Rattus norvegicus: one gene and its partners. The protein of the gene in region 1 interacts with the protein of each later gene in a biochemical or structural test. Links are inferred from orthologs where the notes say so. Each region holds a gene or a part of one and is shown in the gene's direction. Other genes may lie near its edges. The genes, in order: Ubc, Faap20 and Ubqln2.

Evidence for each region.
Region 2: the proteins of Ubc (region 1) and Faap20 form a complex in vitro, tested with the Homo sapiens proteins (6 studies listed by BioGRID, with this or other methods). The link is inferred for Rattus norvegicus from reciprocal best matches to the Homo sapiens genes UBC and FAAP20.
Region 3: the proteins of Ubc (region 1) and Ubqln2 form a complex in vitro, tested with the Homo sapiens proteins (8 studies listed by BioGRID, with this or other methods). The link is inferred for Rattus norvegicus from reciprocal best matches to the Homo sapiens genes UBC and UBQLN2.

What each region holds. Positions count from the first base shown.
Region 1 is NC_086030.1:36,899,253-36,902,852, forward strand, and holds the start of Ubc (polyubiquitin-C), read left to right. Parts: upstream 1-1,247; 5' UTR 1,248-1,314; exon of another isoform or gene 1,315-1,877; intron 1,878-3,047; 5' UTR 3,048-3,050; coding exon 3,051-3,600.
Region 2 is NC_086023.1:171,089,603-171,093,423, forward strand, and holds the start of Faap20 (Fanconi anemia core complex-associated protein 20), read left to right. Parts: upstream 1-1,524; 5' UTR 1,525-1,561; coding exon 1,562-1,623; intron 1,624-2,071; coding exon 2,072-2,216; intron 2,217-2,319; coding exon 2,320-2,594; intron 2,595-3,821. UniProt on the Homo sapiens protein: Component of the Fanconi anemia (FA) complex required to recruit the FA complex to DNA interstrand cross-links (ICLs) and promote ICLs repair.
Region 3 is NC_086039.1:21,229,878-21,233,698, reverse strand, and holds the start of Ubqln2 (ubiquilin-2), read left to right. Parts: upstream 1-1,470; 5' UTR 1,471-1,758; coding exon 1,759-3,675; 3' UTR 3,676-3,821. UniProt on the Homo sapiens protein: Plays an important role in the regulation of different protein degradation mechanisms and pathways including ubiquitin-proteasome system (UPS), autophagy and the endoplasmic reticulum-associated protein degradation (ERAD) pathway.

The sequences.
Region 1 (3,600 bases):
GCTAGCTGCCTGACAGGGTTGCTCAGTATTGAACTCTGGAAGAAGACCTGCTCTTACTGCTGAGCCATCTCTCTACCCTAGGGATTCAATTCTTACCTTCTAAGGTCTCAGGCCTTACATTTCAAAAACCTGAATAGGCTGAATTTTACAAGTGGGGTATATGTTTGCTGTAATCTGAACATTGTACTAAACGTGTACTTTTTGTGTGTGTGTGTGGGTTTTTGTTTGGTTTTGGTTTTTTTCAAGACGAGGTTTCACTGTGTAGCCCTGTAGACCAGCACTTAGAGGCAGAGGCAGAAGGATCTCTGTAAACTTGAGACCAGCCCGGTCTACGAAGCCTATTCCAGGACAGCCAGGGCTATACAGAGAAACCCTGTCTGAACAACAAAAATTAAAAAAATAGGATTTCGATGGGTTCAGTCTCAGAATATGAACAACATTTTGATATTTTGACCTTTCCTTAGTGACAATCGAACAGAAAACAGAACCTTCTCGAATCCAAGGACACCAGACATAAACAGACTTAGGAAGAATCTGGAAAGATCTAGTGCCCACTGGGCTTCAGATCTAATGCCAACAGTTTTCAAGAACTGTGAGGACTGACTGCTTTTCTTGACGAATTCAGATTCGTTTTCCCAAACTGGGGAGAGATCCCCCCCCCCCCCATTTTTTTTATAAAAAATAAAAAAAACCGTTGTCATTTCCCTTGTTATGAGATTTGCACAGTCATCCATCCTGTCACCGTGCCAAAACAAAGAGGGCTGGGCACAGTGACGACCGACTCGAGGTGAGGGAACTTAGGAGCCGAGGCCACCAATGGAATATCAGTGTAACAAGAGCCAAAGCCCTAGGTCCCCCTAACAGAAAGAGGCGACTGGGACCCTTGACGGAGGGGGTGGGGGGTAGTTGGTGGGTCTCCGGCTCGCTTAGCCACAGTGCGCCTGCGCCGAGGTCCGCTCCGGCTGCAGTGATCCCTGCCGGGTTTTAGCGCCGATCACGTCACAGGCGCTGATCCCTCCGCGGGGTCGCGCAAGGTCGCAGTCCTGCCCCTCCACACAAAGCCCCTCACTCTCTGGCCTTCGCAGTGGAACAACCCCATGAAGCGATCTTAATGGTTTTAGCCTGTCGCTTCCATTGCAGAGATTGGACCGGGCATTAAAAAGTAGTCCCCAACCGCATTTCCGCGGAGGAATCCAGGGGTGGGCGGGGCTCCCGATGACTATATAAAGAGACGCCTCGCGTCCCGCAGCTAGTTCCGTGGAGACCGCCAGTTCCGTCTCTACTCTTTTGTGAGGACTGCAGCCAACACCGCTGGTGAGGAGAAAGCCGCCACACCCGGCGGGGGCGGGGAGGCGGGAGGGGGCGAGAGACAGCCCGCGGCCCGGACGTTTGGTTTCCGTGGCCCGCGAGGACGGCTGCTGTCCTGAGGCCGAGGACCGGGCGGCAAGATGGCGGCCAAATGGAAGCCTGAGGGGGAAGACGCGCGGTCCTGACGCGCTGGACCAGGTTGGGGGAAGCAGGCCCGCGAGGCCGCTTGCCGCCGGTTAAGCCGGGAACGTCAGAGGCTTGGGTTGGGAACTGAATTCGGTTGGCGCGCTGTAGGAGCCTCTGATGTGAGAACTGTGGGTATTAGACGGGAGGGAGATGTCGGTTATCCGGAATTCGTCGGTTGCTAAATACAGGAGTGCGATTGGGAAGGGAGGGGGAGGGTGGCGGTCCAGCCTAGCCTATCGCCCCTGTGACGTCGCGGTTTGTGTGGTCTCACAGTGTATAGTGACGATGGCTTTAGCTTTCCCTCAGTTGTAGGACCGGGTTTGGGTCTCGGCCTCGGGTAGCCTCTCCAGAGTAAACAGGAACCGGAAATTCAGAGGGGGAACGTGAGCCTGACTTACATTGAGTCTTTCCTTGTCTCGCTACACGGATATGGCTGCGGAAACTATTTATTAGACAAGGGTGTTTTTTTTTTTAAGATTTATTTCTTCAGGGGTTGGGGATTTAGCTCAGTGGTAGAGCGCTTGCCTAGGAAGCGCAAGGCCCTGGGTTCGGTCCCCAGCTCCGGAAAAAAAGAACCAAAAAAAAAAAAGATTTATTTCTTCAGACACACCAGAAGAGGTGTGATCAGATCTCATTACAAATGGTTGTTAGCCACCATATGGTTGCCGGGAATTGAACTCGGGACCTCTGGAAGAGCAGTCAGTGCTATTAATCACTGAGTCATCTTACCAGCCTGACAAGGGTTTTAAACTTTAAAAAAATCTCTGCCTCTACCACCCATGTGATGAGGTCCAAGGCCAGTGCCACTTACCCCAGACTACTTTTTTTTTTAATAGAGTTTATTCAGGGCATGGGAAGGGGAGTTGAGGAGGGAGTAAAGCTGGTCGGAACATGTGGAGAGAGAGCAGGGAGGAGAATGGGGAGAGAAGGGACAGATGGGGTGAAAGTAAGAGGTTAAGAGGATAAGAGTAAGAGTAAACTACTGTTTAATTGTTCAGACAAAAGCTTGGGGGAAGGAGAGTTGAGGCAGGATCTCACTGTCTCAGGCTGACCTCCCAATTCACGAAATCTGCCCACCTCAGTGTCCCCAGTGCTGGGAGGAAAGATATGAACATAGTTCAGTTTTGTAGTAGTAACTGGCTCTATCTACCAGTCGGGACCTGAATCCGGGATTTCCAACTATTGCCTTCTAAGCTCTTGAGTTTCTGACTTCTTTGGAGTGGGTCCTCCTAAACCCCCCTCCCCCAAGGTGAAATGTGGGTCAGGCTTTTCTCCAAACTGCAAATAGTCAGGGACTGACTTTCAGCAGTTCCGTACTGAACGCTCCACCCTGCCAACTTGGTAATAGACAATGCCTAATATTCATAACTTTGTTCCATCAAGACTTTTATTTTCTTGTTGGTTTTAGGGGGTAAAATTCAAAACAGTCTGTGTAGCTATTTAGACTAAACTACTAGCCACCTCACAGATCCAACGGTTGGTGGCACTCTAAAGAATTTGTGTCATTCCTGACCTGTTTTTTGGTTTTTTGTTTTTTGTTTTTTTTTCCATAGACAATGCAGATCTTTGTGAAAACCTTAACTGGTAAGACCATCACCCTGGAGGTCGAGCCCAGTGACACCATTGAAAATGTCAAGGCAAAGATCCAGGACAAGGAGGGCATCCCCCCTGACCAGCAGAGGCTGATCTTTGCAGGCAAGCAGCTGGAAGATGGCCGCACCCTGTCAGACTACAACATCCAGAAGGAGTCCACCTTGCACCTGGTCCTTCGCCTCAGAGGGGGCATGCAGATCTTTGTGAAGACCCTGACAGGCAAGACCATCACCCTGGAGGTCGAGCCCAGTGACACCATTGAAAATGTCAAGGCAAAGATCCAGGACAAGGAGGGCATCCCCCCTGACCAGCAGAGGCTGATCTTTGCAGGCAAGCAGCTGGAAGATGGCCGCACCCTGTCAGACTACAACATCCAGAAGGAGTCCACCCTGCACCTGGTCCTTCGCCTCAGAGGGGGCATGCAGATCTTTGTGAAGACCCTGACAGGCAAGACCATCACCCTGGAGGTCGAGCCCAGTGACACCATTGAAAATGTCAAGGCAAAGATCCAGG
Region 2 (3,821 bases), on another chromosome or scaffold:
TTTTGCTTTTTTGTTTTTGTTTTTGTTTTTTTTTCAGAGCTGGGGACCAAACCCAGGGTCTTGCGCTTACTAGGCAAGCGCTCCACCACTGAGCTAAATCCCCAACCCCTTGTTTTGTCTTGAGACAGGATCTTTCTTCATAGCCCTGTTATCCTGGAACTCACTCCACAGAGCAAACTCATAGAGACCCTCCTGCCTCTGCCTCCTGAGCACTGGGATGAAAGGTCTGTGCCAGCACCGTTCAAATTAAACTTTTAAAGCCTTTCTTGGCAATACTTCGCAGACAGCTGGGACAAGGTCACTGCTGGGGCTGCTCATTACCCTGCTTCTACCTCCTCAGGTTCTAAAGATGGTTGGATTGGGGCTGGAGCGACGATTTAATGGTTAAGAACATTTCCTTTCTTTCTTTCTTTTTTTTTTTTTTTTCGGAGCTGGGGACCGAACCCAGGGCCTTGCACTTGCTAGGCAAGCGCTCTACCACTGAGCTAAATCCCCAACCCCAGTTAAGAACATTTGCTCCTCTTTGCAAAGGATCCAGGTTCATTTCCCAGCATCCGCATGGTAGCTCGCAACTGTAACCACAGTTCTAGGAGATCCAAGATCTTTTCCCACCTCTGTGGGCAGCAGACACATACCGCACAGATATCTGCTCTCGGATCCTTAGGAGATTAAACTTGCTGATCCTCTTCAAGCCTACAGAGATAGAAGACAACCTCGGTCCGGAATCCATCCCCGACCCTGGCCTGGACACAATTTCCAGGTTGTGGAACCTGGAAGTACTCACAGTAGGGGTGATCTCACCTAAAGATGAGAGGCAAAGTTCTGACTGGAGGAAGAGCCAGGAAAGGGGTTAGGGAGTCAGATGGTTGCAGGACAGGCTTTTGGACCGTCCCTGACCCCTGGGGGCTTTGCAGTAGAATGCTATTAGCGAATCCCAATGCGTCTGTCAAAGTGCCTGGGCTTTTGCTGCCACCAAGTGATGGGTTGCAGGATTGCAGGGCGGGTTATTGGCTAGGTAGGAAACCGGGGATTTTCTCTCTGAGCCTTCATCCCCTGGGCTTTGAGGTTTCATTGCCTCTCTCTTTGGTAGAAAAACCCAGTTCCTTCTATAAGAAGAAGAGGAAGATGATGGCAAAACTGGACTTGGGAATCTGGCCCTGTCCATGGGGCCCTCCTGAGAAAGGCCAAAGAACTGGAAACTGAGGCAGGGCATTGTCTAGTACCACTGGGAGGTGCCATCAGCAGGGCAAGCCTGACAGTTCTCAGCACGTGTTGACAGATGGGAGCCCAGGCTCCAGGGTCTGCACAGGGTCGGGTGGGTCCAATCTCGCACCCCTGCAAACTGGAGGTCAGCTCCACGCTGTCGCGACTCTCCCTCAAGGCGGCAGCCTCGTGTTCCCAACGGTTGGGATCTCGGCGCCTTAGATTTCCAGCGCCACAAAAGGGAGCTGGCACTTGGCAGAGCGGAGAGCGGGGGCTCTGGAAGCCTCCGGAGCGGGTCCCGGTCGGAGGGCGGGTCTGGCTGTAAGTCTCACTTCCGCCGGACGCTCTTAGGAGAAGGATGGAGGAGGAGCGGAGGCTGCGGGGGAGGCTGAGCCGCCGCAGGCCGCCCGCAGGGGGCGGGTGAGGCGGGACAGAGCGGAGGGGTGGGGTCCTGGGGGCTTTGGAAGGAGGTGGGAGCCTGGGAAGGCGGTGGGGACGCCGCGACGTTCCCGCCTAGCTGCGGGGTTCCTCGCACACGTGCATCGCGCTACTAGCCACGCTCCGCCTCTCTCCGGGCGCGGTCGCTTCTTCCGCCCCAACCCTGCAGTCCCCATCGCCACCTCCGCCACCCCTCTTTCCGTCGCCTATTTAGCCTCTCCTTTCGCAGCTCCAGGCTCCATTTCCTCCTAGAGTTCGTTTACCCTTCAACGTGAGGTTCATTCCTGTCCCCTTACTATGGGCTCCCTCCTCCTCCATTACTCCACTGTGGGCTTGCTCCCCACCCCAGCCTTGTTGCCCCTCACTGTAGAACCAACCCTTCGTGACATCTACCATGGATCCCCTGGCTGACCCTTCTTATGATTCCCAGGCCCCCTAACTGCCGCCCCTGGTTTCTCTCGGAGGAAAGTAAGAGTGAGCCGTGGGCTGCTCTGCTGCGCAGCACCGTGGGCGGGAACACGGATTGGACCCCGAACAGTCAGCCATTACCACCGCTGCCTGCTTTTCCCAGCCAGGTGTGTCCAAAAACACTAAGCCGGGATGACTCCGGAGAGGGATCTCAGGCCCTGGGGAGGTCATGGTGTTGGTGGCTATGACCTTAAGGGCACTGCTTTTCAGGAATCTCTGCCTGACCCAGAGTCCACTGTGCCTCCTGAGGTCTTCACTGTAGGATCCAAGACTTTTTCCTGGACGCCTTTTCCGCCTGCCCTTCGTGGCTCTGGAAGCTCCTGCCGCCTGTTACGTTGTCCTGAAGGCTCTCCGGGGTCACCTGCTCCATCCCTGAAAGGATGCCCTGCACTGGATTCCCGTCAAACTCCCAGCACCCAGGAGTGTGTGCAGAGTCAACTTGTGTTGCTGAACTGCCCATTGTGCCAGAAGGCATTTGACCCGAAGTGAGTGTCCCATCCCAGACCTCAGGCTGAAGACTTAGCTGGATGTAAGGCCCACTGGCTTAGGAGGCAAAGAGAGTGCCTGGTGGGGCTCAGGCCTTTTGTTTATGTAACTAATTTTTAAATTATAAATATTTACATACATGTGTGCCTGGCACGCATGCATGTGGAGGTCAGAAGACAACTTCTTGAAGTCTGTTCTGGCCTTCTATCACGTGAGTCCAGGGGTTGAACTCAGGTCCTCAGATTTGCTGAGCCTTTATTTGCTGAGCTTTCTTGCTAGTCCTGGTTAATCAAGCACAGAGTTGGCTTGATTAAATAGCTGTCAGAACATGAGGCAGGTGGGACCCTAGTTCAGAGCCCAACAGGCTCCTCCAGATGATTACAAAAGAAATTGTGCTGAGCTGGAAGTGGAGGCTTATGTGCTTTTAATCCCAGCCTTTGAGGGACAGATGTCTGAGTTCCAGGCCAGCCTGGTCTACATAGTGAATTCCGGAACAGCCAGTGCTATGTAGAGAGAGATCCTGTCTCAAAAAAAATGTGCATATTTATTGTTTGTGTAGTATATGTACATGTTCAGAGGGTTTGTACACAGAGGTGCTAGGGTGGGCTACACAGTGGGCTCAGGATACGCCTGTCTGTCCTGCCACCAGTACCTGTATCACGAATGTATACAGCCTTTTACATTGGTAATGTTTGCATAGAAGGTACGTTACCATTAACTGAGCCATCTTTCTAACCTCCAAAATGTGGCTTTTAAAAAAAAAAATCAGATTCAAGCCTTTATGAATTTGGGAGGGTCCCCAATCCCACCCCTCGACAACAGCTCTCTACTCATACCTATATAGCTGAGACAAGGGGGATGTTGACAGGGCTGCCTTGAGTCAGGTTATGACTGTACCCAACTGGGGTCCTGTTTATGTGACAGTGAGTGATTTGTAAAGCTGACACCTCTGTGCTTCTTACCAATCAAGAGACCCAGGGGCAGAAGCTGAGGGCTTAAGCCCTTTTGGGGAATTCATTCTCGAAGAGCCCATCAGATTCCTGATTATGTCAGGGCTCCCGCTCTTGTTCCGGGACAGCCTTTTGTCTGTGCTGTCCTTTGGTGTGTCTAAGAAAAGACTCTTGGAAGATAGGGCCATTGAAGAGGGGGCTCACTCCATCCGTTGGGTGCTGTTCAAGCAGCCATTTGAGAGCTTGGCAAAGCACCCTGCTTTTTTTTTTTTTTTT
Region 3 (3,821 bases), on another chromosome or scaffold:
TGTTTTACACTGAGATTTATTGAGGTATTTGTGATGTAATGATTTTGAAATGCTGTTAAATCATCACTAGGTTTTTGTATGGGAAAAGGATTTTCTGTGTTCAAAGCAAGAGAAATAAACATAAATGATTTCAGAATTATTTCTTTTATAATTCAGGTTTTCTATATCACTAATACTCCATTTTTATTTTCTTTATTTAATCTGTAATGATTATGTTCATTTCTGCCACGATTGTGTGCCTGTCAATTTTTACCTTTATTTTTGTCTGAAAATATATTTGTAGTTTTTAAAAATCATAAATGCAATGCATATTTATCCATAAAATTGAAAGTCTTATAAAAATAAAAAATAAGCCTTATTCACAATCTCATCTCCTATTAATAATTACCTTTATCATAATGGAGTCTCACCCTTCAGATTTATTTTTCACACATATAGTCTACAAGCTTTTTGATACTGACACCTACACGCCTGTATTATTTCCATTTGTTAAGAAAAACATAAATCCATAGAAAATATAACCCCAAATATCGTCTATTATTTCCTCCTAACTACAGTGCATTTAATGTATTCTTTTAGAGACACGTAATACTACATGAATTAGCCACCATCTTTTAGACACAGGGATTATTTTATTGTATGGCAAAATCATAGTATTCCTGCTACAGACACATTTAACTAGCTAAACGCTGTGTTTATAAATGCTACGTTGTATGTGTATATATATATATATGTATATATATGATTTTAGAATCGATTATTAGGTCTTTCTAAACAAAGGTGCAAATACTTAAAATGTCCATTTGTATTTTCAAACTGCCCGATTACAATTCCTACTACGACTAGCATGAGAGTGCATTTTCTCGGCTCCTGGTCAACAAGGTTTAACGTTCTCTTTCATCGGCGCCAATATGATAAACCCGAAGGAAAAAATCTCATTGTTTTATTTGAATCCCTTTGATTAGGAGCGAGCCTCATATTTTCAGAAGCCTGTTGGTCGTTTTTAGGCTCCTTTTGTAAAATGCTCGCTCCCGCCATGCCTTCCCTTCCCCCACTCGGGTGCTCGTTCTCCCTTTTTGCTTTGTCAGAGTTCTTTACTATTCATTTTTCGTCCTTTGCCTGGGATCGGTTCAATTCAGGCTTTCATCCTTTCACTGCCTCCCAGATTGCGAACCCACATTCTCCATTGGTCTTTCAGAGGCTGCTAAAGAAGCTGCCTCCCTCTTCCACCTCCCGGCCTCCTCCCTTCCCCCCCTCGCCTCGCCTCGGTCCCCTCGCTTTTCTCTCCAGCCTCCTTCCTTTTCCTTCCCTTTCCCCCTCTCTTTGTTTATTTCTCCCTCCCTCTCCCTCTCCCCTCTTCGCCCCCCCTCCTCTGCAGGGCAGGAGTTTTGCGCTCGGCTGCGAGACGCTCGCTGGGCTGGCGCCGCGTCAGCAGGGGGCGGGGCGCGGCCGGGGGCGGGACGGGGCGGGAGCGCGGGCGCCGCAGCTGCAGGAGTCGCTGGGAGTGCGCGCGGGCAGATCACAAGGCGGCGGCGGCAGAGACGGCCTGCAGGACCTGCTCTCTCAGCCCTTAGCCGAGGCCTACGCCGAACCGAGTGCGCAGCCGACGACCGGGAGGAGCCGCAGCCCTCATCTCTGAGGTACTGTGTTCCGCACTGCCCGCCGGGCCGCCCCAGTCCGCTGCCGCGGCGCCTCCTTCCCTCGCGCCCTCTTCGCTCGCCAGCGCCTTCCCTGTGAGCCTGCGTCACCGCGGCCGCCATGGCTGAGAACGGCGAGAGCAGCGGCCCCCCGCGCCCCTCCCGCGGCCCTGCTGCGGCCCCAGGCGCGGCCAACCCGCCAGCCGAGCCCAAAATCATCAAAGTCACTGTGAAGACCCCCAAAGAGAAGGAGGAGTTCGCGGTGCCCGAGAACAGCACCGTGCAGCAGTTCAAGGAAGCGATTTCTAAACGCTTCAAATCGCAAACCGATCAGCTCGTGCTGATTTTCGCTGGAAAAATCCTGAAAGATCAAGACACCTTGATCCAGCATGGCATCCATGATGGACTGACTGTTCACCTGGTTATCAAAAGCCAGAACCGTCCGCAGGGCCAGGCCACCACGCAGCCCAGCACTACTGCGGGAACGAGCACGACGACCACGACCACCACCACGGCGGCGGCGCCGCCGGCGGCGACTACATCATCGGCTCCCAGGTGTAGCACCACAGCTACTACCACAAATAGCAGCAACTTGGGGCTCGGAAGCCTTGCCAGCCTTGGTAACCTGGGTTTGAACTCGTCCAACTTCACCGAGCTTCAGAACCAGATGCAGCAGCAGCTCTTGGCCAGCCCCGAGATGATGATCCAGATCATGGAAAATCCCTTTGTTCAGAGCATGCTTTCGAATCCTGATCTGATGAGGCAGCTCATCATGGCCAATCCACAGATGCAACAATTGATCCAGAGAAACCCAGAAATCAGCCACCTACTGAACAACCCAGATATAATGAGGCAGACTCTCGAAATCGCCAGGAATCCTGCCATGATGCAAGAGATGATGAGAAATCAAGACCTGGCTCTCAGTAATCTCGAAAGCATCCCAGGTGGCTACAATGCTCTGCGGCGCATGTACACTGACATTCAAGAACCCATGCTGAATGCCGCACAGGAGCAGTTTGGGGGCAATCCGTTTGCCACGGTGGGGAGCAGTTCCTCCTCAGGGGAAGGTACTCAGCCTTCCCGCACGGAGAATCGGGATCCGCTGCCTAATCCTTGGGCACCACCGCCAACTACCCAGACCTCTGCGACGACCACCACCACGACCACAAGCAGTGGCACTGTGGCTGGCAGCAACACCAGCAGCACTACGGCCGGGAACACCATGGCTGCAGCTAATTATGTGGCCAGCATCTTCAGCACCCCAGGAATGCAGAGCCTGCTGCAGCAGATAACTGAAAATCCCCAGCTGATTCAGAATATGCTGTCTGCACCCTACATGAGAAGCATGATGCAGTCGCTGAGCCAGAATCCAGATATGGCTGCCCAGATGATGCTGAGTAGCCCACTGTTTACGGCGAATCCTCAGCTGCAGGAGCAGATGCGTCCACAGCTCCCGAATTTCCTGCAGCAGATGCAGAGTCCAGAAACCATCGCGGCCATGTCAAACCCGAGAGCGATGCAAGCGCTACTGCAGATCCAGCAGGGGCTACAGACACTAGCCACTGAAGCACCTGGCCTCATTCCAGGCTTCACTCCAGGTGTGGGGGTGGGAGTGCTGGGAACGGCCATAACCCCTGTGGGCCCAGTCACTCCCATAGGGCCCATCGGTCCTATCGTTCCTTTCACCCCCATAGGCCCCATCGGGCCTATAGGACCCACTGGCCCTGCCAGCTCCCCTGGCTCGACCGGCACCGGGATCCCGCCTGCAACCACTGTGTCCAGCTCTGCACCTACTGAAACCATAAGTCCAACATCAGAATCTGGACCCAGCCAGCAGTTCATTCAGCAAATGGTGCAGGCTCTCACTGGAGGAAGTCCTCCACAGCCGCCGAATCCTGAAGTGAGATTTCAGCAGCAACTGGAACAGCTCAACGCCATGGGGTTCTTAAACCGCGAAGCAAACTTGCAGGCCCTAATAGCAACAGGAGGCGACATCAACGCGGCCATTGAGAGGCTGCTGGGCTCTCAGCCATCCTAATTCCGTTTCTGTACCTTGAAAAAAATGTATCTTATTTTTGATAATGGCTCTTAAATCTTTAAACACACAAAATCGTGCTTTACTTTTATTTTGATTCTTTTAAATCTGTCTACGTATAAATCTAAAACGAAGCATTTTAAGGTGGA